Linked DNA regions of Struthio camelus. The protein of the gene in region 1 interacts with the protein of each later gene in a biochemical or structural test. Links are inferred from orthologs where the notes say so. Each region holds a gene or a part of one and is shown in the gene's direction. Other genes may lie near its edges.

Region 1 (14,451 bases):
CCCCCAGCACACACCCTCCCCGCTCCCCCACCCCAAAAGATCAAAAGCTCCTTGCTATTGCAAAAGGACTATTTTCTCAGGCGTCCTTCCCCACCACGGCTTTGTGAAAAGGACAATAGACTCCTGTGTCAGTGTTGTTGGCACCAGCCTTGCATAATACAGGAAGCAGCATTTCCTTTCGGGGGTGGAAAATTAACTTGGATCGTGCGTTTCTCTTTTTATTGCTGATCGTACACACCCCGGGAAATTCGGCTCGCTGGCTCTCGGGAAGGGAAGCGGCAGCAGCGTCCTCCCGCATCCTCCCGGGGCAGGGGAAGACCCGAGCGCGGCTCCGCGGCTCCGCGGCTCGCGGGCAGGACCGCCGCCGCCGCCGCGGAGGGCGCCCCACGCCGCGCTCCGCCCGCCCGCCGCGCTCCGCCCGCCGCGCAGGGGCGGCTCCGAGGCCGCCGGGCGCGGCCACCCGCGGGCCTCCCACGCTGCTCCTACCTGCTGGCCTCGGGGCCATCCATCACCCCGCCCCGCTCCCCCACCCCCACCCCCCCGAAGCCAAAACTGCAGCCTTTGGGCTGAAAGCAGAGATTTCCTCTTGGGGTGTAACCTTTGGCGATCCCGTGGGCTAAGGGTGCCCTCAGTGAATGGCGCAGGTTTCGGCTGCTGTCAGTGGAGCATCTCTTCTCCTGCGCTGCCCACTTCTTGCTCTGGGTTTGTCCCCTCTGTCCCTCAGCCGGCCTTGGGCTCAAGGCAGCGCAACGAGTCACAGCATCCTCTGCTACTCTGCATAAAAACGCAGCCTGGTTACCTGCCTTAGAAGAAGAAGCAATATACAAAAGCCTATGTCTTGCTGGGCGATCTTAACTTTTTGTTTGGGAGACTTTAACTTTTCAACTTAGCCTCTGCTTTTTTGACAGCCCATGCTACCTGTAAAGTTTAATTTCATGAAATAATCTTTAAATAGTTTCTTCCAATGATTTTAGCACTTGAACAATGCCTGTTCCAGAAAGATAGCACATTTGTTGATAAAACATTAAAATACCTTTCTAAAATACCTTACCAGCTGTCCCCATGAGATACTTACAGGGATACAATCTCTACTCTTACTCAGTTTAAGCAGACACAGGCCTACAGGCCTTACTGTGGGGCAGATTTTACTTCAGCAGAACTGGGCATGGGTGTGTATAAAGTATAATACACATTCCACAATGCGGTTGTTCTTTAATACAGTCTTCATTACCTTGCAGTGTTCAGGAAAATAAGAGTTTGAATTTGGTGCCTGCAATTGATCCCAGCTTTCATCTCTCTCCTCTGTCTTTCCCTTACTGGAACTGATAAAGAAGTCACTGGAAATCTGAGGATCTCAAGAGAAGACCTGCAACCAAAATCTTCTGATCTGCTCTTTTTGTCTTTTTTCTTTTGCTGACAAGTGCCTAAACCTCAGCTTAGATGTGTTGGTAGTTTTGTGAGGTAAGGATGCACATAAACAGTGTCAGCAGCTCCCAGTACTTGTGAGATTAAGTTATGTTGCACAGATCATTTATTCTCCTAGACCTGTGCTGGATCCTGTCTGCCGGACCTGGTGAAAAGAGAGCATTCCCAGACAGGCTTTAAAAGAACCAGATGGGCAGCTCTGAGGCTTGCGGAGTCAGCAAGCAGTCCTTCTCCCCCCCTCTCCCCCCAAATTATGCTGACCTGCCAGTTATGGTTTTCCTGCATTGAAGAAACCAAAGATATTAATTTCACAGCATGGAAATAACACTATTGCATCACTAAGGTAATACCTCATGCGTCACCACGAGTATCTCATAGAACTGGAAGTTAAACAATCTTCTAATTTTTCCCGTCAGTCGATTTTACTTCTAGATTTTCAGGGAAATGTTTTGTGGAAACGATAGCTATCTTACAACTGCTGTCCGAAAAACCCCAATCATGGCTACAAAATAAAAGGAAAGACAGTCCTAGTGCTTTAGAAAGGAAGTTCTTTAACTTCCCTCAGGACAGTAAAGCTCTCTTTAGCCTTCCCCTGTAAAATAACATCCTTGCTTCTTGCAGATGGACCTGGCATTAGATCTGATGTGGTTCTGGGCAAACATTGCAGCTGGCCTTCTGTCTTCCCACTTGTCTGGGGAATGGCTCGCAGTGCTACTGGCTTAGCCTCACTGGATCTCACAGGGGCCAGAGCTCCAAGCTTGCTCCTCCCTCCTGATACTGCTCTGCTTGCGTTAGTGTAAGTGAACCATTACACAGTGCAGGGAGTACACCAACCCTACCATCTGGGGTATATGTGGTGTAACCATATGCACTATGCCAGTGCTACAGGACCTTGACAGTGTTGCACGTATCCCACATTTCTCAGTGTGGCTCCCAAGATGCTCCTGTGAACATCATTTCTGTGGTCAGAAAACTGTTTGCTTTTGTTCACATTTTCTATCTGATTTGTTCCAAAATAATCAGAGCATAGGCATTCATGCACAGCACTGAGTCACCAGCCTCTCTGCAAGCAGCAGCTCCATGGGCTCTCAGCTTGGAGTCCTGGATTGCATTATGATGAGGGAAACACTAAGCCTCTAGGGGTTAGTGTTTGGGATGGTAAGAGGAAAAGAGCTTTTCATTGTAAGGCTAGTTTTCTTTTCATGGCCCAATATTTTCTTGGGTAGTTTTCCCTTTTTGACATGTTTTGGTTTGGTTTTGTGGTTCTTTTGCTGACCTTCTGGTTGTCTTTCCCACTGAAACGCAGTGACCTTGGCCTGAATTCACAGAGAAGAGATGCAATTGATTCTTTCATGTGGTCTTGCCTCTTTCTGTGCACTTATCCTATACGTTCATGTAGTGACAGCTCCAGAAATGGCATATATATCCTCCCAGACAAAAGGAAGAAGAAATCATTGGGGATTGGATTTCAGAAGCCTGGGAGATACAGCTGAACTAGCTATATCACCACCACACTAACCCAGCTATTCAGAAAGTAGGCCATTCCCATATTGATGCAGGTGTGTATGTGTGTGAGTGAGGTCTAGCCCATGTACACGTGCATATAGTAGAAATGCTTACTAACAGTCTTCCATTGTACTTGTGTTTTTCAGGGACAAAAAATACTGTTTCAGTTTTTTTTCCTGTTGTGTGAAATTTTGCTGAATAGACTTGTAAAATCAATTGTATAATATTTTGAAAGAAAATGTGTATTGCACCAGACTTAAGAGGGAGAGGGACTAAAGAGGGACAAAATCATGGGCGTTCTGCCATGTGGACCTGACGGGAAGGGGGGTAGGCGGGTAAATCGGCAGAGCCAAAATTGTGTTGGATCTGTCAGGGAGCACTGTGGGCCAGCTGCTTGCTAAGAGAGGGTGAGCCAGGCACCATGTGCGATTAGAAAGGCCGACGGGAGCAGTCACCCCACCTACAAGGAGCTGGGATGTGAAGCAGCAATCTGGGTGAGGATCGGGTCCAGAGACTGAGAGTTTGCTGCTCATCGGGCAAGCCTGCTGTGAGGAGGCAGATCCAAGGAAGCCTAGCTGGAGGGTCCAGGTCAGGGTCAGATGTGCAGAGGCAGGACCCTGGGTGCAGACGTAACTGCTCCACAACTGCGATGTAGCACAGGTGGGAGCCGGTGGTACAGCCTGAGCTTGAAAGCAGCTTCCAAGGGAAAGAAGGTTCAGGACCTTGCTCCTAGCTTTCTTCACAACAGTTATTGTCAGCAGAGGAGCTGACCTCGGACTAAGCCAGCCAAACTCCTTAGCTCAGCCAACGAAACTCCTGGAAGCGGTGTACGCTCCGAGCCCTGACAGGGTGTTCTGCGACCTGCACCAAGCTAGGCTGGAGGATTACTGGAGCTCTTAACTCATTAGCTTCCTCACCTCCTAGTAAACTACTAGGAAAACCTGATTAATTGCTCATGCCAGTTGATTAACTGTAATAAGAAATAATGAGCATCAGTAAATTATGTGCTCCCGTGGCCTCTACCTTCTTGCTGTGGTTAGATAGCTGCCTTCTTTACCTACCCCTAAGGTCGACTTAGTTTTGACAGTGCTCTGAATAGTCATATCCTTCTGTGAATGATGGGCAGCAGTGCTGTGAGATTGTCCTAAAAGGACTGAATCTTTGTTGCAGCTTTTAGTTATCTTACTCCACACACTGACCCGGCACAGAGCAGAGAGGCTGTAGAGTGTAAAGTAAAGCTCAGTCTTGCTGAGGGAAAGCACAGTCACAACCATAGTTGATGTCTTTGCCTGTGCTTCTATGCATATGCCTCATATATGCATCTGAGCAAGTACAAGTGGTTGTCCCATTAAACACTGTAGTACAGAGAAGAGGTCTTTCAGCTTTCTCTTCTTACAGTGCCGGAGAAAGATAAGGAACTTTACTTTCATTTAAATGAAACTTTGAATGTAGTACGTCCCTGCTGTTCATCCATGATTAATCCAAATAACAAAAGCAGCTAAAATTGGGAAGATGACGGTAAATCAAATTGACTTGATAACATGCTTCTCAAATTCTGTCCCTGACTTAGGGAGACGGAACCAAAGGAAATTAAAATAATGGTGACTGAGAACACTTCATTGACAAGGGACAGGGGAAGAGAGTTACAGGAAGGTCTTGGGCACACCCAGTCCATCTCGCCTAGGATATTGCTGCAGGCTTCAATTTCCCCAGGAGCTGGATGAGTGTGAGACGCTCCAACACTCTTCCAGCTATCACAGTTCACTGTGTCTCCCTTTGTGTGGCTGTGTTGTAAACCATACTAATGAAATTATTCAGGTTGAAAATGGCCCTCCATAAAAACTGGGCCAGTGAAATCCCGGGTTGTTTCACCAAACTGTTTTACACAGAGCTCTGAAAACAGTTGTGCCAGTGCAAAAGAGCAGCAGTGAACTGTAGTGTGGGGAGGAAGGGTGGACAAGGAGCACTGGATCCTTGCCTGCCAGCTCTGCCACTGAAAAAAATGTAATTTTTTTGGATGATTAACTGAGATATGCCTTTGCTTAAATTTTAGCTCCTGGGAGCACCCAGTCCTCTGTTAAGAAGTCAATTGGTAGATGCAGATTCTGCAGAAGACCTGCAGAGGGAGATCCAATCTACTTTGCTTTGATATCTTTCCCTCTCTCCCAACAGTGGGAAACCTGGGAATGTCTAGCAGGCAATCTAGCCTGCTGTTGTGAGGTGTGTACCTCTGTGCCATGAGCACAGGGGATCAACAGAAATCATTAGGTCCTTCAGTTCTCACTCCAATCCACGTAGTCTTTTCCTGAGGACAGGCTACTGCTGGTGCAGATGCTGGTAATAACGTTTTGTGTAATGCTCTGAACACTGGAACTGGTATCTCATGGAGCTAATTTTGAGCATCAGTGCAAATAAAAAAATTGCTACCATGACTGGAAAGAGTCAGGTCAGGCTGGGAGGGTATCAGCTGCTGGTATGAGTGGGATTTTCCAGGCTCTTTATTTTTTGCCACGTCCACGGGAACTGTCCAAGCTATTCCTCCCAGGAGACTTGGCTAAAACCTTAACTCAGGATGTGCCAGGTGTCCTGCTTCTAGCAGGGAATAGGATCCACAACCTCAGGATGTGTCCTAGTGACTTGACTAAGTCATATCCGGGTTGAGACGTCTCTCCACCCCACCTTGCTCTTGGGTGGTGTCTGTTTCTTTATAACATGTGCGTCTATTGCACAAGGCAGACCCAGGAAATGGGCTTGACCCCTTCCTCAGATGAATGCCCTAATTACTTGCCTTTTCAGTCAAATGTCCTATTGCTCGCTTTCTGTGGTGTTCCAATGAGTCTTGAAGGCCAGGGAGGGGGAAAGGATGCATATTGAAGAATTAGTGCTTTTGCTATCTGATAACTTATTTATCTTAGGGCTAGATGTATGGGTTGTTCAACCAAAAGGCTTGGCAGAATCATCTTACTCTAAAGCAGGGTAACATTCATGAACAATACAACGTACTGCTGGGCTGCAAGTGAACCCTTAAAACTGATGTCTACTGTGAGGGCTATTTCTTCTCCATCTTTTGCAGCTTCTATAGCGCTGGAGATTGAGCAGACAATCAGCCTTGCAGGAAAGATGTTTGTCTGCTATGTTTCAAAGAGGGCTTACTCTCAGCTGTTAAATTTGGCAGGTTTTCTTTCTAGCATTTGGTAATAATTTTTTTAGCAAATGTTAGAGAAAGGAGATTTCCCACTTTTCACAGCCAAAGGAAACATAATGCCCAAGGATAAGACTTGTCTGCACATATGCTACCTATTACTTAGTGCCAAACCTGAGCCTAAGATTCTGGTGTCAAGAGATCATATTGCCTGCAAGATGTACATTTGCCTGGAATGGGTCTATGGTTGGCCCATCAGCATTTGTATGGCCACAGCACCTAAGGCACTCTTCAAAATTAGCTCCCATCCGAGTAGCTATTGCAAGTTATGTCATAGTAGATACAAATAAGATCTTTCAAATAAGTTCCATGCTGCCTTCTCCTTCACCATACACTGTCCATCTGTCCAGATGCTTCAGCCTCTATGTTTAGAAACATAGATGTAGGTAGATGTGCCTTTCATCTACCTCCAGGCATATGCTTCCTATGGTGTTTTCATTCTGCCTTCTGAGAATATCTGCTGCCTCATTCTTGTCTGTATCTCCCTAAGGGGGTCTTTTTAATCTTCTTGCAGGCTCCACTGGCTTTAGTATATGAACTGGATTGAAGGGTTATGAACAGATCTTCAGGTCTGCCCTTCCTGTTCCTCAGTCCCTTGGGTGGATCAGGAGCTGATGACATCCGTTAGAGAAGGAAGGTGGTAAGTCTTGCCAAAGTGTTGTGGTCTTTGGAGGGCCATGACCAAATGCAGCTGCGGTGTAGGAGGTGTGAACAGGGTGGGAGCTGGTGTGGCATAGCTGCAGAGCTCATGATGGGGCCTGCATCATCACAGACTCAGCATGTACTCAGCACTGAGAAGGTCAAGGGCAGGGACAGAGAGTTCCCTTAGCTCCTTCCACAGGGAGCCCTTGCTCTTAGGGGGTCTGAGCTGTCAGGATGCCCATGGTCCTAATTCTGGTTAATCTATCCTCACTGGCTGACTGTTTTCCCAGTTGCTGTCCTCTCCACTGGAGGAGGTGATTTCTTATGAGTCATCCTCTTCAGGAAAGAAATTTTGGGGCTCTTCCCCCCATGGTGTAAGCAGATGAGGGGGAAGGTACCCATAACTATTTTATTTTCAAGGTCTCAGTTGGAGGCAGGATGATTGGAAAATATAAGCTTAAATTCTTAGCTTAGGGTGTCACTTATGAATAGGAATCTGACAGAAGCCTGCAGGAAATATTCTCACCAACTTTAAACTTGAAAGTTAAACAGTCCTCAAGTTAAAAACAACACCAACTTCTCATCTTTTTTCTTGCACAGGATGGTCTGGTGGGACACAGGAGATCTGAGTTCTATTTCTAGCTTCTGTCACCCGCTTCCTATGACCTTGGACTGGCTGCCTAACCTCTTTATGCGCCTCCATTTCCTCCTCTGTGAAATGGGGATAATCACATTTACCTGCCTCATGCAGAGACTCTTGAGACTTATTTCATAACATAAAAACATAGGAAGGGCCATACTGGGTCAGACCAAAGACCTCCTTCGCCCAATAGCCCATCTCTGGCTACAAAAGGGAGAAAGTGGAAACACATAGTGTAGGTTTTGTTGTCATGGGCTCCCTCTGGTCTCTCACAAAATAAAACAATCATGGAAAGCGTAAGGTAAATGCATGAGGAGGAGAAATACATTTCCAGCTTAGTCCTGGAAGTCATAGGGTCGATGAAGGCCGCCAACAGCACTGGGCACACTCCTGGAACATCTTTAGCCCGTGCTGCCTCTTTGCTGCCCAGAGTGCTCCATGCTGCTTGCTGGGGACCCCGTGCTGACCCTCTGGGGGGAAGGTGGGGAGAGCAGCCCCGGGCACCTGGCAGGGCTGTTCCCGGGGTGCTGCGGGTGCACGGGGTGCTGCCAGGCTCCCCGAGCGCCCTGTCCGACAGCACGGGAAAAGGTGGGAGTGCCGGTCTCACCTGGCCCTAACTCCACGCTCCTCACCACGGGAAGCACCGCTGGCTCTTTGCGGTGCAGGAGGCCGGCGCTGCGGCACGGGACGCCCCTAGCACTTCTGCGGGGAACCCGTCTGGTCTGGAGGCACGAGTGTGTTGCGCGCCTTGCCGGGCGGAGCCGGTCGGCCCCGTCCTACACCGCGGCGCCGACGGGGGCGGTGAGCCCCTCCGGGACCCCATCCCGGTGCGGGGCAGCCGCTGGGAAGTCCCCAGCGCCGGGCCGGGCGGGGCCGGGCGGCGGCGGCGGCGGGAGGGCACGGCCGGCTGGAGCCGGGCGCTGCGTCGGGGGCGGCGCGGGGCCGGGAGGGCTGCGGGAGCGCCCCGTGCCTGCCGTGGGGCGGGCGGGGGGTCCCGTGACGCGTCCCGGGGAGGGCGGAGGATGTGGGCCGGGGGTGGGGGTGCGCGGTGAGGGGTGGAGAAGTTATAAATCAGCGGGGCGGCGGCTGGCTGGTAATTGATGTCGGCGGGAGGTGAAGCAGGCAGGGCGGCCGGCTGCGGACACTCCCTTTTCCGCGGGCAGGGGCGGGCGGGGAGGGCTCGGGGGCTGCTGGATGCTGGTCCCGCGCCGCGCTGCACCGTTATCTCCGCCGCCGCGGGAGGAGCCCCGGACGGAGGAGAGCCCGTCGGAGCCCAGCCGGCGCCTCTGCCTCGCTGCCGTCGGCAGGGGAAGAGCCCTGCGCTCCCCGCGGGCAGGACCATGCCCTGCCAGCTGCTCTCTGGGACCGTGCTGCTGGGGGCCGCCCTGCTGCTCGCAGGTAAGGCCCCTGCCCCGTCGCGGGGCTGCCGCCCCCCGGACCCGAGCCCCGCTGCCCCTTGCCCATCCTGCTCCCCCCACACACCCCCGCGGGGATCTCCGCGACGCGGCCCCACCGGCTCCCTCCTCGGCGGGGTCCCGCACCCTCCCCGGCCGCCGCTTCCCACCTGCCTCCCCTCGGCACCCGGCGGCTCCCCAGAGCCCCCGGCGGGGGGGAGGCGACGGCCATCGCGGCTCCTCAGAGAGTCGGGAAAGGCCGGATCCCGAGGGGGCTTCACCCTCCGGCTCCCGGCCGCCTGCCCTGGGGCAACAGCGGGAGGCGGCTGGAGAGAGGCGCGCCGGGGCGCCGGCGGGTGCGGAGCCTCCGCGCCTCTCCCGGGCAGCCAGCGGTGCCGGCGGGGAGCCGAGCGGCCGCGGGGGGCCCGACCAGCCCCAGGCGTTGTCCCAACCGGTGCGACAGCATCACGGAAAGAAAACAGGTCTAGGCTCCAGGGCAGGCTTTTTTTCTTCCCCTCTTTGTTTCGAAGTGTCAGCCTCTCCCGGTTCTACCCGTTAAGTAGGAAAGGAAGGTTACCCATTTCCTTCGCAAAACACACATCCTCGTGGCCGCCCCCGGGCAGGACCGCACGTCCGCGGAGCACCGGCCGGCGCTGCCTGCGCGTTAAGGGTGGCCGCGCTGGAGCTGCCTAGCGCGGACGCGCGCGGAGAGCGGGAGGGCGCTGCTCGCCGGCGCTGGCCTCGCGCAAGGCTGCGCGGTGCCGGGATAGAGGAGCGCACAGATTTGTTCCTCCTAATGGAGTTACATTTTACTTTGGGAGAGGAGCTTGCCCTGCTAGGCCGGTGCGCCGTGAGCTGGAGCGTGTGCCCGCATGGCATTGCTGCTCGCCGGGGAGCAGGGCTGCGTGGGGCCGGGCACGGTGCCGGTCCCGCGGGAGCTCCTCGCTGCCGGTCTGCGGAGCTCCCCGAGGGGCAGGTCTGCGGCCCCGGCAGCCTCCGCGGGCAGGCGCGCAGCATGGTCTGGCCTGACCGAGCTTGGGGCGAGGGCAAATCCCGCCGGGAGAGTGGGAAAACTGAGCTCTCCGCGGCCGTCACCGAGGCCAGTGACCGCGCAGCGCGGCGTCTCTGTGGTCAGGGCTGCGGCCACCCGACCTGCGGCGCTCCCCCTCACAAGTGGCCGAGGGCTCGGGCTGCTCCTCCGCGAGTGCCCGCGGGAGCGGCCCCTGCGTGGCGCGGAGCGGAGTGATGCCCGCGGGAGGGGCCCCTGCGCGGAGCGGCGCGGAGCGGAGTGATGCCCGCGGGAGCGGCCCCTGCGCGGAGCGGCGCGGAGCGGAGTGATGCCCGCGGGAGCGGCCCCTGCGAGGCGCGGCGCGGCGCTCCTCGGCGGCTGCCGGTGCTGCCGGCCGACAGCAGCCGCGTCCCGGGGCTGCCCGGGGTGACCGCGAGCAGGGGCTGCTCTGAGGAGACGTTTTCCTACTCGGGAAAGGCTGATTCATCAATTTATATATATATATGTATGTGTGTATATATATTTGTTTGTGTGTATGTGTGTCTGTGTGTACATACATTTTCCCCCCCGGGAAAGTGCTATTTTTCCCGTATTATTTATCCCTGCCAAGGAGGTTCTCATACCCAGGATGAAGTAGGCACAGGCACGGGACGCCTGCCCTCGGTACAGGAAATGTTAGTTCAGATCCTTACTAGGCTTCCTTCAGAGCATGGGCTTGAACTCCAGTGTCCGGCTCCCACATGTGCTCCTGAAGTGACCAGCTACTCTGGGGCACTGGCTTCCTCTTTCCTGTTGGAAAGGTTTCCCGTTGTGCAAATCATGACAAACCACTGCCCAAAGAGAAGATGAACTCTGTGATCCAAGGGCTGTGAGAGACTGGATCACTTTCCTGTTCCCCGTGCTACCCAGGGATATATACACCTTAGAACAGCTCCAGTGGGAAAAGCTAAGCTTGCTTAGTGGAAAAGCTGGTGCTCTGGGCACTGGACTACCATGAGGTACATCCTGGGACTGGCTCAGGCGCAATAGGTGCTGGAAGAGTGCTTTGTTGTAGTTTGACTGAGTACCTTTGCAACCTCTTTGCTGGCAATTCCCTCCCTTCCCCCCAAGTATGATAAGTTAAGGTCCAAATCAAGATTAGGACTTTCTTGAAATTGTTCATCTTGTTACAATTTGTTTTGCTGAAAAGGAAATTGTCCCTTGCACAGCTTTGTCTAGGCATTCCAGATAGGTTGATCGTGCCTCTTCTGAGTCAGCAGTAAAACTCTCCGTACTTGCATTTGCACCTGGCATTTTAAAATTACGGGTGAAGTGGCGGGATGTTTTATACCATGCATAGATACTCACAATACTTCTCTTTCCATGTCATCCTCCTACACTGCTTGTTTGTCTAAAACTGTTACTCAGGCTGGTCAGCGCTTCCCCTTTCAAGTGTTCTTGATGAAACTCGATTCATCACTGCCGTGCGGTCCCCTGCTGTGGTTTAATCTCGAAGGGCATCTGCTCAGCTCCCATTGACCAACAGGTACTGGAGTACATTCACAGAAAAAGTCAGTAGTTCAGGAGTTACTGCAGACAGTTTCATAGGGAAGGGACAGAAGGAAGTCTTTTAGCTTGTATATGTCTAAATTTAAATCTCCCCAAAGCAGTATGCAAACTGCAAGCCACGAGACTTCCCATTTCAAAATGAGATTAAGGAAATCATATTTCTTTGACTTGTGAGTGCTGGGAACTTTAGTCCTCTGATATTTCTATGCATATGCATATTTTGTGTTCTCCGCTGTGATGTGGGAAGGAACAATATTTTTGTATCTGTTCTGCATAGTGTTTGGATACATTTGCTTTATAGTTTGTATATATTTAGTCCACAAATTATATCGAATACATTTATGCTAAAGCCTGTATACATAAAGGTCAAAATGAAGACTTTGGGGCCGCATTCAGGTTTGATTACCCAGTCCTAGACTGTATGACAATCAGTTAATCAGTGGTGTTTGGGAATGAGACGGACTGGGATTAAACCCTAAAAAGACCAGATTCTGCCGTCTGGAGCAAGGACAATGTGGCCACATTTCCAGAAACATGAGACAGATAAATCAGGTTTATTTTCAGCTGTCAGCACATGAATGATACCTGACAATTATCGGTGAGGAGATAAATCTAATCTAACACAGTCTTACCCATGGACAGTCCTATATGAATCTGAGATATCCTGGTGGGAACCAGATACATTAAAATCCTGAGTGAATGATGGATTTTTCAAAATCCTGGTCAGCTGAGAAAAAATGAAGGAAGAAGTTCTAAGTCAAATCTAAATAGCACTGATATTAATTTCTTACAATAACTAACCTGACTTCCCTAAAAGTGCTATTCAGACTGAACTTCATTCATATGTAAGGTTTCTACTTGATTTGTGTACTCAGCTGAAATAGCTTTACAGGCACATAGTTACAGTGGTCTAACTTGAGATTAGGGATGGAAGTCTTCATGGAGCCCTGAAAAACTGGGTTTCCCATGTCTTCTGGACTTTTATGGGAAATGGAGTCCCTTAAAAATTTAAAACTGTGTTCACAGAAGGCTGAGGACTTAGAGCCTAATGTGTAACGCAGATTCGTAAAGCAAGTATACATTGCGTTTAAGTACCAAACTTTCTGATATTACTAAAGAATATCACTTAGCAGTGTTTAACCAGACAGATGTCTTGCTCATATGCTCTCACAAAGCTGGATTCATTCGCATACATGTGGCTGTAAAGTGGAGTGATTCCTTCGGGCTAAGCTAGCATATTCTAGATTTATAGTTCACATAGGAGGAAATCAGGACTAAGCCTCTAGTGTGGTAAAGATCTTCATATCCAAAAGTGCCCAATGCACTTAAATCCTTAAAACTTTCTCATTAGGGAGATTTAGTTTTGTTTTTAACATGCGAACAATAACAAAATAATAACAAACAAACTGAGCCTCTTTTTTTTCAAATGCTTCAAAGACTTAAACCGGTAGCCCTTCACACTGTGTGGGTGTACAGGACAGAAGGAAATTGCCCAGATTTTCAGGACAGTTGCTGAGTCCTCATACTTTAATGTGGTTTGGAAACTTCAAGCGCAGTGTTTATCAAGTTGCTACTTTTTGTGTCCGACTGAGATTGGGAAAGGAAGAGACTCAGCAGATGAAGGTTAAGGTTCGGCATTTCAGAAATCTGTGTCCAGTGGGGCTATGGTGGGGCTTTATCAGCAAAATTCTTCCTTTGAATCTACTCAAGTTAGGGGCTGAGACTTCCTATTGCAGTTCCAGAGGGAATGGAAAGAGAAACTTGGCAGGAGTGCAGGGCAGCTCTGCCATGAAGCCTAGGATGGCCAGCAACCACAGTCATCTCTGCTGCTGGAGGCAAGTGCCTCTTACTAGTATGAGGCCTCCATGCAGCAAGCTACTCCCTTCACAGACTTCCTTTTTCTTTATATCTCACCTCCTACAACAGTCTGTTTTTTATCTTCATATCAGTATTTGTAAGAATGTCCCCACATTTGAGCACAAGAATTGCACTCATGGACAGCATCAGACTCCTTTCTGTTTGACCTTGTGATGTACCTTTACTACACATATTCCTTCAGCTAAGAAACAATTTTCCCCAGCATTCCCAGCTAGGAATGGCCTGATTTCTTAATATACCATGTGGGAACTGTTCATCCTAAAATTGGTTTAGTGATTGTCATGAAGATGCCCGCACAGTTTTCTCTTACTAGAATACAGAAATTCAGATTCATTTGCCTGTTAGCACTGTATAACACTGTGTGATTAAAAGGAAAAGTTAGATATCCTGCAAGAAACAGTTTGAACAGTGAAAATGTTGGCATTAGCGCCCAAAGCCAAGCGTGGCACAACATTGTGCCCATTTTGACCAGCAGAATGAGTTCAGGCTGCAGTGAAGCAAAGCTATAACTAGTTGAGAAAAACGAGAGGGATAAAAAAGGTTTGAAACTACATGTTTCAGAGGTGCTTTAATCTGCAACTTAAGTCTTGAGCCATTGGGATGTATGGAGAAACTTGAACTGGGAGTGTGGGTGACTGGTTCTTTCTGTTCTTCTGTATTGAATCATGTATCCAGGAGGGTTGTGGTTTTTTTATTTTTTTGTTTTTTTTAATGGCATGGTGGGTGGAAATATGTCAGCCTAATGATGAAGAATAGGATCATTTTGCTAATGACACATCTATACTATTCAAAACCATTATAGATTCTTGTGAAATAGTTATCTCATTTGTTCTTCTTCTTTTGCAGATTTATTTTGAGTTTTGTGTTAATAGAGAAGCAACAGATCCACATTCATGCCGATCCAATTTTGCTGTCTCTGCAATTTTTCCATCAAATGCTATCTGGTTTTTGTTACCAAAATCAATCTGTCCATATTAACAATGTTAAGTCACCCTGGCAAGTACCTATTTAGACAGAGACACAATCCAACATGATGACATTGACACTGATTTGCATTTGCATGATTCCAGTATCTTTCCAGATGTGGGGCTGCTCTTTAAATATTCATTGATACATGGCACTAAGTATTCCTAAATATGATGCCTTTTAAGCCATTCTCCCTCTTTTGGAGCTCCTGTGGCACATTGACATGTATGCAACCATTAAT
Region 2 (14,449 bases), on another chromosome or scaffold:
AGGCGGAGGCAGGATGGAGGCTGGGTGAAAGTCCAGGAGTGCTGGAACATTGTGTGCTGGGAGGCTGTTTGGATTAGAAACTCTCTGCGGATCAAGTGGGCTGGATGAAATGCCAGGGAGGGGAACCAGAGTTTGCTGAACTCTAGTAATTGGACTCGTCTGTAACACCCGGACAAGAAAAGTGAGCTGTTCATGCTCAGCGCAGATGAAGGGAAGGAGCCAGCACGCAAAAGCCAGCAGAGACACGGTCCTGCAAGAATAACAAGGCAGGCTGTCATTACAGAAGTTACTGTCAAGACTGGATAGGCAACAAGAGGAAAAGCAGCCTAGGGTTGTCACTGGGTGCCTAAGCCACTTTCTGAACACAAGTGACTTTGAGCAGCAGTGAAGAACTGCGCGGTGTGCGGCAGTTGTGGGGGGGGACACAAACCACAGTCCGAGGGGAAGGATGCACCACAGGTATCTCTGGTTTAATATGACTGCTTCTTGGAAGGTCCCTGTTCAAAGGCCAGAGTTAAAAACGTAGGGGAGGACTCAAGTAAGGAGCTATTACAGCCGCAGTAACAGATAGGACTGCGCAGCCAGGGAGGCAAAGCTGTAAAGAAGCACGAGTGAATATGCTGAAGGGCTAAGGGAGTCCAAACCAGCGTTTTCTACGTGCTACAGGGAAGAAAATAGGTCACTTAGTAAGTTAAAGGAATGAAAATGATGGGCTGAACCAAGTGCTGAATGCACGTTTAAAATGTGAGCTTCTAGGAAAAGAAGACAAAAACGCAAGCAAACAGCTGACGATCAAGAACAGATATGTGAAAAACTGGAAAACTCAGTTGTGTGGGTCTGGAGGAGCACGCAAACGTTGCCTGAGTCATCAGCAGTTTTAGCATGCTTGAAATTTGTGGCTGACTCTGCAGGTACCAGAGCAAATGTTTTCCTTGACTTCATACATTTTCCTGGTAACAACTGTCCCCTAAGCTGGTCGTTCTTAGTAAAGCATAACTGCTGTAACTCTCCAGATGGAGTAGGGGAAACCGGCTGGGTTTGCTAAGGGTGCCTTAGCCAGGCTAACGCGGCTCTTCGGCAGGCGCCCAGTGGGAGGAACGAGACCGGTTCGGTGTCTCGAGTTAGCACAGCATCTGACACAGCTTGTCAGCTTGCAGGTATGTACACCTCTCTCTGCCTGAAAAATACCTGGTGGCTCATCCTTGCATCAGCACGAGCGCCCACAGGCAAATCGAACTTGCAGCCAGACCTCTGCGATACCAACACAGTCCACGATCCCTGCAGGAAACAAGTAGGCGGTTCTGAATCCGGCCCTGGGATCATCTCTTCTGCCAGCGACTTTGCTGTTCGTCCCCCTCCTTTTTGTAGCCTTAAAATAGAGACCGAGGCTGGGAAGCAGGATGGTTTTTTCTAGGGCTTGTTGTGGAAGCGACCCACACTAAGGGGCCACAGGGGCCGTGCAGCCTGGACTGCCCCTCACCCTTCCTGGCCGCCGGGGAAGGGAGGGGGAGGCATGGGAAGCTGGCATTAAAGCGCCTCTGCTGGATATGAAGCCTCTTCACTTGTTGGCTTGTTAGTCTGCCACGGTTCCCCAGATCTCCTCTCAGGACGTAAGCAGCTGGAGGCAGCGAGTTCAAAGGCCAGGCTGGTCAGGAAGAGGTGAGGGAAGCGTGGGAAATAACTGAATATCATGTAGGAAAACAAACCCGAGCGAGGGACGAGGGAGCATGGTGCTGGGCTGGTCAGATATTGGCCAGGCACCATGGGCCGCCGTTGGCAGCGTTTCATGAATGGCGCGTCAGGCCTTTGCACCCGGAAAAGGTGTTGGCTTTGCTCGGCGCTGCGGCCGCAAGAGGCAAAGGCAGGCGAAAAGCCCGCTGGCACCGGGCGGGCGCTGTGCTGGGGCTGCGTCCCTGCTCGGCTCGGCCGGGGAGGAGGCGATGCCGCGTGGCGGATCGGCATGTGTCCCTCCCTGCAGGGCAGCGGGTTCGGGGAAGCTTCTGAGCAAACCTGGCGTCGCCGCTGCCGCTCCAGGAAGCCAGGCCCCGGGGGTGAAACAAAGCGCGGCCCAGCCGCTTTGTGGTCACCGAGGGGTCCGTGACACTAACAGTCTGGGCTGCTTCCTGGTCACTGGCCAGCTCCGCACAGTTCCTCCGCTCTGGCGCTCCCCACGGCTGCGGCTGGGCGCCGGGCTCGCCGGCGCTCATTGTCTGCCGCGGCGCTCATGCGAGCTCTTCGGCGGCTGCCAGGTCTCCGAGCAAGGCAGGGATGAGCCATCCCTCCACCCCCGTTCTGGGACGGGCTCGCGGACGAAGCCCTGCCGACGCACACGTTCGCCCCTGCCGGGGTGAGCCGGTGCAGAGGCCGTGCGCGCGGCCCCGGCGCGCACCGTCCCGCGCCCCCCGCCTCGGCCAGCCGTGCCGGGCAGCGGGGCTTGGCAGCAGCCCGGGCTGCTGCCCCCTCCGGCGCGCCAGAGGAGGCTGCTGCTCCCCTGCTCCTCGCGTGTTTGCCTTGCAGAGCCAGGCAGAGTCCTGCCATCCCTATTATTTTGCTTTATGTCAATATTATGACAGCTAAAAGCAGGAGAACTGCATCCACATGATAAGCAGCCAGAGGCTCTGGGCTGGGCGTGGATCGTGTTAGAGTTTGGCAGGGGAGAAAAGTGCCTGGCAGCCCCTGCCCGCGGGCTCGCTGGATCAGGAGAAGTGGGAGCCGGGGCAGGCGACGGGCAGGGGCCGAGGAACGAGTGATTTTTACCCATGCATCCCTCCTCTGGCGTAAACACCCGCTGCCCCTTTCCCGGGGGAGATGACACACACGGTAGATGTGGCCTGAGGGAAGGCAGCCACAGACGGCTTCGCTTTCTGATGGAGAAGTAACCTCGATCTCCCAACCCAGCCCTGCTTCCAGGGGCAGAGGGGCTGCTCAGCTCCTGCGGGGGCAGCCCCGTCCCTCCCGCCCCGCCTGGGCCTGCGGCTTTTCGTCTGCGCCGGCGGTGGAGGGCCGCGCGCGCCACAGCCCTCGTCCCGCGGCTGCTCTCGCCTCAGCGAGGCGGCGCCTGGCGCCTGCTGCCGCTCCGCAGCTGCTGGAGAGAAACGCGCAGGGTGTTTCTGGGGTTACGGGGCTCTGCTCCCGCCCGGAGGCAGCCTGCGCTTCGGGAGCTGCCCGGCAGAGCGGGCTTAGCTGCGCCGTGGGCGCTGCGTCTCCGCTTCCCGCTCTGGACCGCCAAAGCGTTGCGCGCGAGGGCTTGTTGCCTCGGCGCGGCGACTGCCGGCCCCGCCGCGGGGAAGGTGCTGATGCAGCGCTTACCTGCAGGTACCCACGTAGGCCAGGCGCTGCGCTTCAGCTCCCTGGGTGCCTCACCCCGCCGCGGGGCTGCGCTCTGCCGCAAGCGGCCGCGTCGCAGCTGAGCCCCGCCGCGCGGGGCTGCCCGGCCGGGCGGGCGCGGGAGCGCTGCGCCGAGCAGCATGCGCTCTCCGTGGCTGCCCCGCCAGGCACGCCGGCTGCCGCCCCGCGGCCCGTGGTCCTTCACCCTCCTGTCCGTCACCAGCATCGCTTTGCTGCCTGCCCTCAGCTTTGCCTCTGTGGGAAGGTGACTGCGTCTCCTGCCCCAGGCTCAGCCTCGGCGCGAAACTCGACGTGCGCCGAAAGCGGAGGCGGGCAGCTGAGCCAGGCTGGGGCCTCAGCGCGCTGCAGAGCTCCTCTCCGGTGCCGTCGCCCCGGCCCCTGCCTACCTGCGGGGAACCAACGGCCGGGCGGGAGCCACGGCCGGGCGCGTCGCCCGGCTTGTGGCGTGCTCCCCCTGCGAGGGACTGCCCGCTCGCGCGCCCCCGTGAAGACGTCCCGCCGCCCTCCAGGGGCCGCGCCGGCCCGGCACTGCCGCCCGGACCTCTGGCCCGCAGGCAGCGCGGCGCGGGGAAGGAGCGGGCTGAGCGCCGGGGCCGGAGCCCGCCGCTCCTCCAGGCTTGGCCGTCAGGTGTCGGCAGTTTTGGCCAGCCCTACCGAGAGGCCGTGGGTCCCCAGGGGAGGCTGAATCCACCCCGAGGAACAAAAATAAACAGCAGAGTTCCTGCCACGTGCAGCTGGGGCTGACTAACGCCAGCCGCTTCCGGCCGCCTCGGACAGCAACAACAGGCGCTGCAAGGCACAATGTTCGGGGTGCGCAGCACAGCCCATTTCCCGCTATTGTCAGCCTCCTCCTCGGCAAACAGCTCCCCCTGCACACCTGGGCTGGGAGGCGACTTTGACGCCACAGGAATCGCCGCGAGGAGCGAGGGGTGCGCAGGCACCGCCACCCCGGCGCTGGCACCGAGCCCCCTTCCCCTCGCCCTTTGCGCCGCGTGGCACGGCCGCAGCCTCCCGCAACGCCCCAGCCTGGTGCCGGCAGCACCCCTGCCCTGGCCACCCCGGGCGGCTCGGCGGGTGCACCTCGGGCTGCGGAAGGACCCGGGGCTTCTCTGAGGTCTAAAATCAGCTTTTCTGCTGCCGTCACCCAGCGCTGGCTCCCCGCAGGCTTCCCCGTGCCGTTGGCTGGCTGGCGATGGCGACCCGGCGGCGAAGACGCTGCCACGCTGCGCAGCCCATGTCCAGCCCCGGCCGCGCGCCCCTCTCGGTGCCCAGCACCGCGGGAGCGCTGAGGAGCCCTTCGGGTCCCAGGTACCCAGCCAGGCTGCTGCAGGCTGTTTCCTCTAGGAGAAATGCTGATGATCCCAGGGGTCATCCATGCAGCCCTGCTCATGTACGAGGGTGGGAGTCAACTCTGTGTTCCCCTGAAGAAAACAGCAGAGATCTCCTGGCAGAAAAATCTGGGTCTGCGTCTCCGGAAAGGCTTGTGCCCGGGAGAAGCCGCCCACCAGGCCATGCCCATCACCGTCTCTTGCTCTCTGGTCCTTTCTCGCTCCCACGTATGGATACGCCTGGCTGCAGTTGCCAGCCTTCTGCCTTTCGCTTTGAGACACGACCTGCAGGAAAGCCCTCCCACTACCATAGGGGACCAAAGGAGAATAACAGCCGTATCACATGGCTAGGGAAAGCAATCAAATCTAATTAAGGACGAACCCTCAGTGCTCTGGGATAAAGCACTAGCCTGAGGAGCCCAGCGTGTTACATTTTTGTGCTGCTCCGACCTTGGAGAGTCCCATCACAGCGCAGGCTCTAGCTAAGCTGCCAGGAGGGAGTGGGAGCTCGGTGGTGCCTTGTCCCCGGGCGAGGAGCACGGCCCCAGCAGCCCGGGGGTGGCTTCGCCGGGCACTAGACCACACGGGTTTTGTCACTTCCCCTGGGAGGAAGTCTCCAACCCTCCCCGAACTTCGTCTGGTGTCATAAATAGCAGCAGCACAAAAATAGTGACCTGAGGTTTTCAGGGCTGTTCTCTAAGGGGTTAGCGGTGACACAGGAGGTCCTGGATACCGTCAGCTTAAGAGGGAAGCAGGTTTTTGTTGATCTGTTTTCATCAGAGATGCTGAAGGTGAGGTTTTGGAGGGCAGAAGATGCCTGTGAGGGGATCTTGATCCTAAAATGGGTCTGTCTTACGGAAAAGAGGACTTAGCGAGAGCTGCAGCGCGCAGCCTGCAGTGAGCGGGGAGGTTTGCCAGGGCAGAGCAGCTGCCTGTGCTGGGACCCTTCAGGGCTCGCAGGCAGCCCGGGCTTTGCCTTCGGGCCCCATCCAGAAGACCCCAGCAGGGCTGTGCTGCTGCGGGGCTGCAGCCAGGTCACGGGCCCGCTGCCCCAGCTGGACTCACGCAAGGATCGCCCACAGAAAGGAAGCCGCATCATTTCCCGCTCGCCTCCCTCCCCGGCGCGGCTAGCGGAGCAGGGAGGCGGAGAGGCACGCGGGGGCATACCCGAGCCGACACTCTCGGCCCACGGCTGCTGCAGCAGGTTTGCCGTGGCGGAGGTGTTCTGCCCTTTAAGGAAATGTCGCTATTTGCCTTATGCTCCTCGCTGTTCCCCTGAGCCTCGTCCATCTCCTGTTCCCAAAACGCGCAGCTCCACTCCCCGGAGCCTTGTGGGAGGCGGTCTGAGAGACGCGCCGGAGCATTTATAGTATCGCATTGGACATCCAGCCTCGTCCTGCAGCTGGGGAAGGGTAGGCCTGGCCCCCGCGGAAAGAGCATGACAGATTGAAGAGCGAGTGGCCACGGCCCCAGCCAGCTGGATATTTCTCCCGTTAGCAGGAGGATGTTGCTGGTCACAGGTTACCAGTATCCAAATATTATTTCTCTGCTCACGTCTGTGCTCCACGCGGCCCAGAAAGGGGATGCTCATCCCAGGAATGTAAACTCTGCCCAAGGCCTCTGAGGAAATAGCTTCAGCCCAGCAACAGGATTGCACTCGGCAATTAAGGGCTGGTCTCCCGGCCACACAGCTCCTGGGGGGAGCCCTTTGCTCCATCGCCAGAGGCTGGCCTTGTGTCTGAGAGGTGGCCCCAGGGGACCTTCCTGCAGGGACAGGCGTGAGGCCCTCTGTGGTCACGGTCTTTGCAATAACAGGATCCTGTCTTTCGAGCAAGTTGGCAGCGTTTGCCGCTCGGGGCAGCCCTGTGACGGGGCTCTCAGGTGGAAGGAAATGCTCCCCCCGCTCCCCCAGCCCCCAAGCTGTCGGCAGGGAGCTGGGGGCTCCCCCGGCCCCGGGGCCGGGCGGTAGTGGAGGGGGAGCGTGGGCATTGCAGGGAGGGCTTTACCTGCTCCTTGCTGCCCAGCCGAGGTGGCGGCTTCAACAGCCACCAAGCCCCACCAGGGCAGCGGCACGGCGCAGCGCTGGGCCGGCCCCTCCTGGGCTCCTGTGGCCGCAGCAGCGCCCTGCTCGAGCGCCGGGCGAGGGACCAGCGGCCCTGCGACCAGCTCGGCAGCACTGGCACCTGGGGGCCGAACACCCGCTCGTGCTCGGGCCTCTGCCGCCTGTGGGGCGGGGGACAGGCAGCTGACATGTCCCCGCGCCGCAGGGGCAGACCCAGGCAGGGAAGCCCTGGAGCAGCCGCCCCACTCTCCCGGGACGATGGCAGTGTGAATCCTGGCAGGGACGCAGAGCCCTTTATTACCCTGGGATCCACGTCCCCAAGTGGATCATGTTGCCTGCCGGCATCCATTCCCTCCCTGCCCGCGGTGACTGCAGCTTTCCTGGCCGTCCAGACTTAAAAATAGAACAGAAAAGGCCACAGAGCAGCTCCGCATTTACCCCCAGCAGTGGGGTTTGGCCTGGCCACCCCCAGATCCGCTCTGGGGAAATGCTCTGCAGCCAGACGGTTGCCCCCGCCCCGGCAGCAGCCTGGCCCGGCTGTGCCCACCGCCGTGTCCCCAGTCCCCTGGGCGGCAGGGACCCCCCGAGGCAGCCGGGACCCGCGGCACCACGCCAGGGCTGCAGGGCTAGAGGCCCCCGGGGTGCGCGGCGGGGGCACCGCCAGCTCCCGCTCCCCAGCCCCGCGGACGCACCGGGCTCGGGCCAGAGTCACCAAGGGCCGAGGCGCAGCCCGAAGGGCGGCAGCCGCCGCCGCCCGGTCCCAGCCTGCCGGTGCCGGTGCCGCTGGCGCTGGCGACGGGGCGCTCCGCCGTCCGAGCTCCGCCGGGGCCGGGCACCTGCTGCCGGCCGGGGCCGGGGCCGGGGCCGGGGCCGGGGCCGGGGCCGGGGCGGGCCGGGGCGGGCGGTGGGAGGACCGGGGTCCGGGGCGGGGCGGCGGCGGTGAAATAGGACGGCGGAGCGGGCGCGCTCCCATGGCCCGGCGACGGGGCGGCGGGGGCAGCGGCGGCGGCGGCAGCAGCAGCAGCAGCAGCAGCAGCAGCAGCAGCAGCAGCAGGAGCGGCGGCGGCGGGGCGCGGCGGGGCCGGCCGCTGCCCGGCGGGGCGGCATGGCGTGCGCGGCGGCGGCGGGGGCCCGACGGCGGCGGCGGCGGCGCTGAGGCAGTACCGGGGCGCGGCGGCAGCGATGCGGCTGCTCGGTGCCTTCCTGCAGCTGCTGGTGGCCGGGGCGCTGGGGGCGCCGCCCGCCCCGGTGAGAGCCAGCGGGGCGCCGCCGCCCCCCCCCCCCCCCGGGAGGGAAGGAGGGAGGGGGCGTCCCGGTGCGCGGCGGCTGCGGCGCCCTCCGGAAAGCCCTTCCCGGTGCTGCGGGCGGGGTCGGGCCGGGCGCCCCGGGGCTGCGGAGCGGGCTCCGCCGTGGCCCCGTCCCGCCCGCCGCCCGGCTCAGCGCCCGCGTTTCCCTCCCTGCAGGGCCCGGAGGCGCGGGGGACCGCCGGCTCGGAGGCGCCCGGTGAGTTGGCAGCGGGGCGGCGGGACGGAGCCGGGAGGGCGCTCGCCCCGTCGGCGTCCCGCAGCGCCGGCCCGGCCCCCGGCGCCGCCGCCCCGCGGGTTAGCGGCGCGGGCGAGGCGGCGCCCGGCTCTGCCCGGGGCTTGCAGCGCTGGCCGTGACAGCGGGCTGCTGAATCGGGGCCCAAACACTCGGCTTCACCTCTCCTCTGCTCTCCCCTGCTGGGAAGCCCGAGGGGAAGGGAGAAGGGGGCGGCAGCAGCGGTCCGGGGCCGTGGGGGCGGCTTTCTCGTGTGCTGTGGGACAGGGCTGCTGCTGCTGTCAGGCCCAGGGACCAGGCAGAAGAGGGGACCCCAGCTGCAGGGGGGGGGCTGGAGACTGAGGAGAGATGGAGCTGGCAGGCAGGGGGAGAAAGAGCCCATCGAGGTGGATGTGGCAACTGTGCTGGCCCGTGCACCAGTGCAGTGAGGAGCCTGCTGAGGGTGCAAAGGGGTCCTCTGCGTCTCACCCTGCCGCGGCTGCTGTGCCTGCCACCTCAAGGTCCTGTTCTGGCACCTGGTACTGAGCGTCAGAGGGTGGGCCGGTGCCGGGCGCTCTGGACGCCTTCTTATAGCCCCGTGGGTCTCTTCCAGTTGTGACCTTTCGGGAGATCTGGAATCGTAGTTTCTGCCGTCCTCTGGAGCAGCTGGTGGACGTCATTACCGAGTTCCCCGACGAGGTGGAGTACATCTTCAGACCCTCCTGCGTCTCCCTGCAGCGCTGCGGAGGCTGCTGCGGAGACGAGGGGCTCCGCTGCGTCCCCGTGGAGACGAGCACGGTCACCATGCAGGTGAGCGCTGGCTCGGTGAGGGCCTGCAGCGACAGCCGGGGAAGCGGGCTCCTTGCCAGGTGCCAGGAGGTTGAACCTTGCAGCTTCACATCCTCAGGACGTGGTAGCAGTGTGGATAACAGGGGATGGGGGGGAGGGTCTGGCTTACTCAGAACTGCTGAAACTCATGCCAAACTGGAAGGGTCCCCCCGCCAGCTTTTAAGGCTTATCCTTGAGGGTAGATGAAGCCCTTGGCAGTACCAGCCTTGCTCCCTGCTTCCCTGCCCTGCTTCTGCATGGTCTGTCTTGCTGAATGCTGTTGCCTTGCTGGACCTTCCCTGGGCCCCACTGCCGCACTAGGGGCGTCCCCATGGCCAGAGACCCTGCCTGCTGGGGCAAAGCACCGGCTCCCCCTGAGGCGCAGGGAATGGTTTCCCTGCATCCTGGCTCCGGGTGCCAAGGAGATGCCTGCACTGACAGCAGGCACGCGCTGGATGCCCTTTTCCCGGGGGCAGGGTGAACACGAGGGGCTGTGCATGCCGGGTTTCCAGTCCTGTTGTGGAGCTGTGGGAAATCCTGGGCTTTAAACAAACTGAGCTGGCTGCCTCTTCCCCACGCGCAGAGCTGCTGTCCTGCTCTCTCTGCAGCTCTCTCACTGTGCTGTCAGAGACTGACCTGCCGTCACCACAGGGAGCAGACGAATAGCTCTGCTTTGCCATGGGTGATGGACTAGAGCGCTGGCAGCAAATCACCAGTGGCTTTGGCCCCTCAAGGGTCAAAAGCAAGTTGGAAGGCAGGGCTGGCATTCCCAAACAATCTTGAGTTAGGTGGAACAGAAGTCTGAAATAAATAGGAGGAGGCGGCACTTCCCCAAGCTCCAGGGCGGTCAGGATCCAGCAGACGCGTGTGGGGTGGCAGTGCTGGGCTAGGAGCGCTCCTGCGGGGCGTTAGTGGGGATCACGCCACAGAGGAACGTTCCCAGACGTCTGACCCAAACTCCAGGCTAGGTGGTGCAGACTGACACGTGGTAGGGCAAATCCTGTTCCCCTGGGTTGGGGAGCCCTCGGGAGGCTGTGGGAAGGGGGCAGGAGGAGGCAGCAGCAGTGGGAACGGTCTAGAAAACATGACCTAGAAGAGAGATTTAGTTCAGCGAAGGAAAAGATGCCAAGTGGTCAAATATGTGAAAGGTCTCCACAGAGGCAGGAGATCTGCCCTAAGGTTGGGAAGTCCCAAGAAGAGGGGACTTACTTAAATTTCAGCCCTGAAGACACAGCGAGGCACCCGGAGAGCCTCCTGAGCTGCTGGGCCTGGCTGAGCTGCATGCAGAGGTGGAGGCTCGGCTGCCGGAGGTCCTGAGCAGCAGGTTAGATATGAGAAGCTGGGGGCCCAGAGGCTGGGGTGAAGCGAGCATGCCCCGGGGTGGAGGAGGCGAGACAGTGCCTTGAGTCCTTCCAGCCACGTCTGCTCCTGCACACCAGGCAATAACCTTTGTTCCTCTTTCAGCTCCTGAAGATAAAGCCAAGCGGAGAGGCGCCGTATGTGGAGATGGCCTTCACTGAGCACAAGCGCTGCGAGTGCAGGTGGGGACCCTTGGGCACCGCTGTGCCCCTGCAGCCAGAGCAGCCTCGCCAGCTTGTGGCGCTGCTGCGCGTGTGTCCCGGGCAAATGGCCTGCTGCAGGCAGCCTTTGTGAGCTGCCTGGCGAGAGCTGGGCAAGGCTGGTGGCCCCAAATGCGAGGGCTGGTTTGGGGCAGCTCGCCCCAGGCGCTGGCTCGGGGAAGAGCCCTGGCCCCGGCGCACCCGAGGATGACTGTGGCTTAGAGAGAAAGCTGAAGTGCTGAGCCTTGAATCCCCATCTTGAGGGGGCCATCCCATCTGGGGATGGGGACTTTGGGTTGACTCACAGGGAGGGGTCTGGGCTGACAAACGAAAGCTTAAAAATCCCCAGGCTTGACCTGGTGCAGACACATGGCACCGACCTGACCAGGCACGGATGCACAGCACTGACTCGGCCCGGACACATGGCACTGCCCGGGCACGATGTGGACCTCTTGCAGTGCTGACGCTGCTGTGCAAGCTCGGACGGTCTGGGCTCCGTGCATGCAGCTGGAGCAGCACTGGCCCTTGGTGCAGAGCCTCTCCAGCACCACCTCGTGGGTCTGTTCTCCCATGCGGCGAATCTTGGCATCTGCTCTCCATCACAGCCTGAAGACAATTTGTTATTGCAAAAACTGGGGAATGAGTGTCCTGCCGGGCAGCTGCTGGATGTGATCCTTGCCTGGAAGAGCCTGAGGATCCCTGTGCCGGTATTCCCCCTGTAGCCATAAGCATGGCTGTGCTGGAGCAGACCCATGGCTCGAGTAGCTCAGTGCTGTCTCCAGAGCAATCAATCGGTGGATGTGTAGGGAGGAGTGGGAACCAGCACATGCGTTACTTCCCCCTGCCTCCAGCTACTTTCCCTGCAGGGAATTTCCTGAGCCTGATGTGGTTTTCCTACTTAGGGTAACTCCCAGCGGATCTCTGAAGTACTTGTGCAGTCTGCCTTTGAACCTATGTAAACTTTTTGTATCTGCAACACTCTTGGCTTCTCTCTAAGCAGCTTTCCTCATCCTTATGTTGTTCCTCTTTGAATTTTAGCAGAAGTGGAGTGGAAGCTTCGGCATGGGCTCCTACTGGGAATAGTGAGTCCAAGTATGTCATGGCTGCTGAGAACTGAGATTTTTGAAGCAAATCCTGTATGTTACTTGGGACTCTTCATAGAGCAGATGGCATATGGAAATGCAAACAGTCCCTGAGAGCAGTTAAAAACTGAATCTATGCTTCATGTCCTGATGGGCAAAATGTCATGGCCCACAGGGGAGTTGTAGCAGTCGGTCATCTCCTGCCCCTTTGCTGTCTCTTTTCTTTCTGCATGTTGCAGTCTGCTACTGGGTGAGGAGTTGATAATGTGGGGAGAAGTCGTGCTGGGTCTGTCCTAAGCTTGAGTCGTAACTCATCTAGGTTGTGCTACGCATTGAAGTGTTTCAATAAACCACCTCCAGAAGCTCCATAGATAGCACTGTCCAAGTAACCTTTCCCCTCTGTCCTTTCTCCCCAGGCCGCGGCAGGACCTGATGAAATTCGGGAGGTAAGTGGCGCTGGGAGAGACGCTGCAGGTGGGGGTACTGCTTCTCGCTTCCCACACGTCAGTCTCTTGCGCTCCTTTTCTTTTGAAGGAGGAGATCAAAGGGCCGAGGTAAGAGAAGACAAAACAAGAGGAGACGTAAAGACTGTGAACTGTAAGTGAGCAGGGGGAGATACGGGCTGTGTCTTTTAGGTTAATTTGTTCAGAATAAACAGTTAAGTTTTTAGGTCTAACTGATGCTGTGAATAGCGGTGCAAAACATGGGGCTGGGGAACAGATCTGGATGATTCGATGATGTGTAGATAAATTGCCATCACAGACCACACTTTTTATATATCCATTAATTTCCAGTTTCAGCCTCATCTTGCTGCCAGCCATGTCCTTACTGCAGTCCTTGGCTAGCCGTTGTTTGGGTTACTCTGTCCTTTCCGGCCTTATATTTAGCTGACCCCTCCGAACCGCTTGATGCAGCAGTCTGTACCGGACTCTTGTTGCTGTGGACACTTCTGGGGTATAGAGCCTGAAGTCAGCATTTTCCTGCCGTGTTTTGTTTTGTTTTCCTGCTGTGTGACACTTGCTGCTCAAGGCTCAGCCAGCACCTACATCCCAGCATGCTGGGCCTGACACAGCCATGTCCCCCTCTGTCCTCCATGAGCCCCAGCCCCCCAAGAGGCTGCTCATGGACCCTGCCCATGGCTTGGTGACAGAAGTAGGGTGCAGGGGAGGGCCAAGCCTGGGCACTTGCAGTTGGGGTGAGCGTGGACCTGTCTGGCACATGCAGACCTGTGGTGCTTACCCTGTGCCACGCTCTCTTCGCAGATGTGGCACGCCGCGCAGGTAGCCTCCACTGTGCCTGTGGTCCCGCTCCTCCTGCCGTCGGGGTTTGAGCCAGTTGCGTTTCTGCCTAGCACATTGGACCTACGGAGCTGTGCCCCTCCGCAGCCTGGAGGCTGGGGAGCGACGGCTGCTAAAGGGAGCACCTGGCAGGAAAGGGCTGACTGGACTCTTGCTGGCGCCTGGCAGGAGCACGGCCCTGGAGCGAAGGACTCTCCCTTGCCCTCCACCTGTGTGCCGTCTGCAGCAGGGACAGAAGGATGCCTAACTAGGCCTGGGGGTGAGGATGAGGAGCCCGAGGTGCATGCTGGTGCTCCAGGGGATCTTGCAGGGCAGGGAGCTCGTAGATGTGCTGCTGGAGTGGGCTGGGGACAGCATGATATTACACAGGGAGCTGGCTCCAAGGGTGGTGGCAGCAGTTGCTGCACAGCTGGGGAGGAAGGAAACCTGGGAGAAGCAAGGCTGCAGGGCTGCATCTGCCCAAGCCTTGGCACGGGGCAGGCCCAGGCAGGGAGCTGGCCTGGGAAGCCCTCTTCGTGGGGAAGGGAGGAAATGGGAGGTGCTGGGGGCCCCTCCTGTGCTCTCAGCCCCATCCCAGCCTTGCTCTTCTCAATAAAATCTGTCAGAGCCAGGAGCTGGCAGCATGAGCATCCTGTCTCCTTTCCGGCAGCTACAAAGCCCTTTTTTGCCATCTCCCAGTCCATCCTGTGGTGCCGCCACCTCACTGCCCCAAGGCTTGGCCCCAAAGCCAAGTCCTGCAGCACCTGAGGGGCTGACCTTGGTGTTTGCTAGACCCTACCTAGCCAAGGGTTGGTCCCAGCTTGCTTTCCCATGTCTTTCTGTTCTCATCTTCCCTATCTTCCTCCTTGCAGGCACCATAATTCCCCCCCCCCACCCCGGCTCCTCCATGCTTGCCCTGGGCTCCCACGCTGAGGCTCACCAGTCCCTCTCCCTGGCTGGGCTGCTGCAAGGTTGGGGCAGCAGCCAAGCTGCCTGCCAGCCTCTCCACCCAAGAAATACCTCACCGAGGGTCATTGATCCCCTGTCCTTCCTCCTGTGTGCGAGGTCTGGCAGGGGGCTGGCCTGCTAGAGGCCTCGTCTGTCAGCGGAAGCATCCTGGGATGCGTGAGGTGGCTGGTGTCCCTCTGTCAGGGTGGCTGCAGGGGGGGGCTCCTATTTCCTGCTTTCCCATGGATTGCCCCAGGAGTGAGGCTGCGATAACCCCCAGGGCTCCCCCAGGTTGGGGGCAGCCCCAGCTCTGCCCAAGCCCTTGTTTCTGCCTTCTTCCAGCAGTGCTCCGAGCTCTCGCCCAGCTGCGGTACCAGCAGCCTGGCCCCGGGGCCGGCCGCCGCTCACGCAGCGCGAGGGTGTGGGGACGCAGCGGGTCCCGCAGCAGCAGTTCCCTGTTTGGGGAAGTTGGCGCTGGGTGTTTGAGGTGTGTGAGCCT

What was found.
Region 2: the proteins of FLT1 (region 1) and PGF are reported together in a solved structure, tested with the Homo sapiens proteins (2 studies listed by BioGRID and IntAct, with this or other methods). The link is inferred for Struthio camelus from reciprocal best matches to the Homo sapiens genes FLT1 and PGF.

Annotation. Positions count from the first base shown.
Region 1 is NC_090942.1:200,281,179-200,295,629, forward strand, and holds the start of FLT1 (vascular endothelial growth factor receptor 1), read left to right. Parts: upstream 1-8,501; 5' UTR 8,502-8,515; coding exon 8,516-8,813; intron 8,814-14,451. UniProt on the Homo sapiens protein: Tyrosine-protein kinase that acts as a cell-surface receptor for VEGFA, VEGFB and PGF, and plays an essential role in the development of embryonic vasculature, the regulation of angiogenesis, cell survival, cell migration, macrophage function, chemotaxis, and cancer cell invasion.
Region 2 is NC_090946.1:57,826,339-57,840,787, reverse strand, and holds the start of PGF (placenta growth factor), read left to right. Parts: upstream 1-7,857; 5' UTR 7,858-7,920; coding exon 7,921-7,986; intron 7,987-8,201; coding exon 8,202-8,241; intron 8,242-8,869; coding exon 8,870-9,066; intron 9,067-10,548; coding exon 10,549-10,625; intron 10,626-12,141; coding exon 12,142-12,171; intron 12,172-12,259; coding exon 12,260-12,322; intron 12,323-12,987; coding exon 12,988-13,009; 3' UTR 13,010-14,449. UniProt on the Homo sapiens protein: Growth factor active in angiogenesis and endothelial cell growth, stimulating their proliferation and migration. It binds to the receptor FLT1/VEGFR-1. Isoform PlGF-2 binds NRP1/neuropilin-1 and NRP2/neuropilin-2 in a heparin-dependent manner.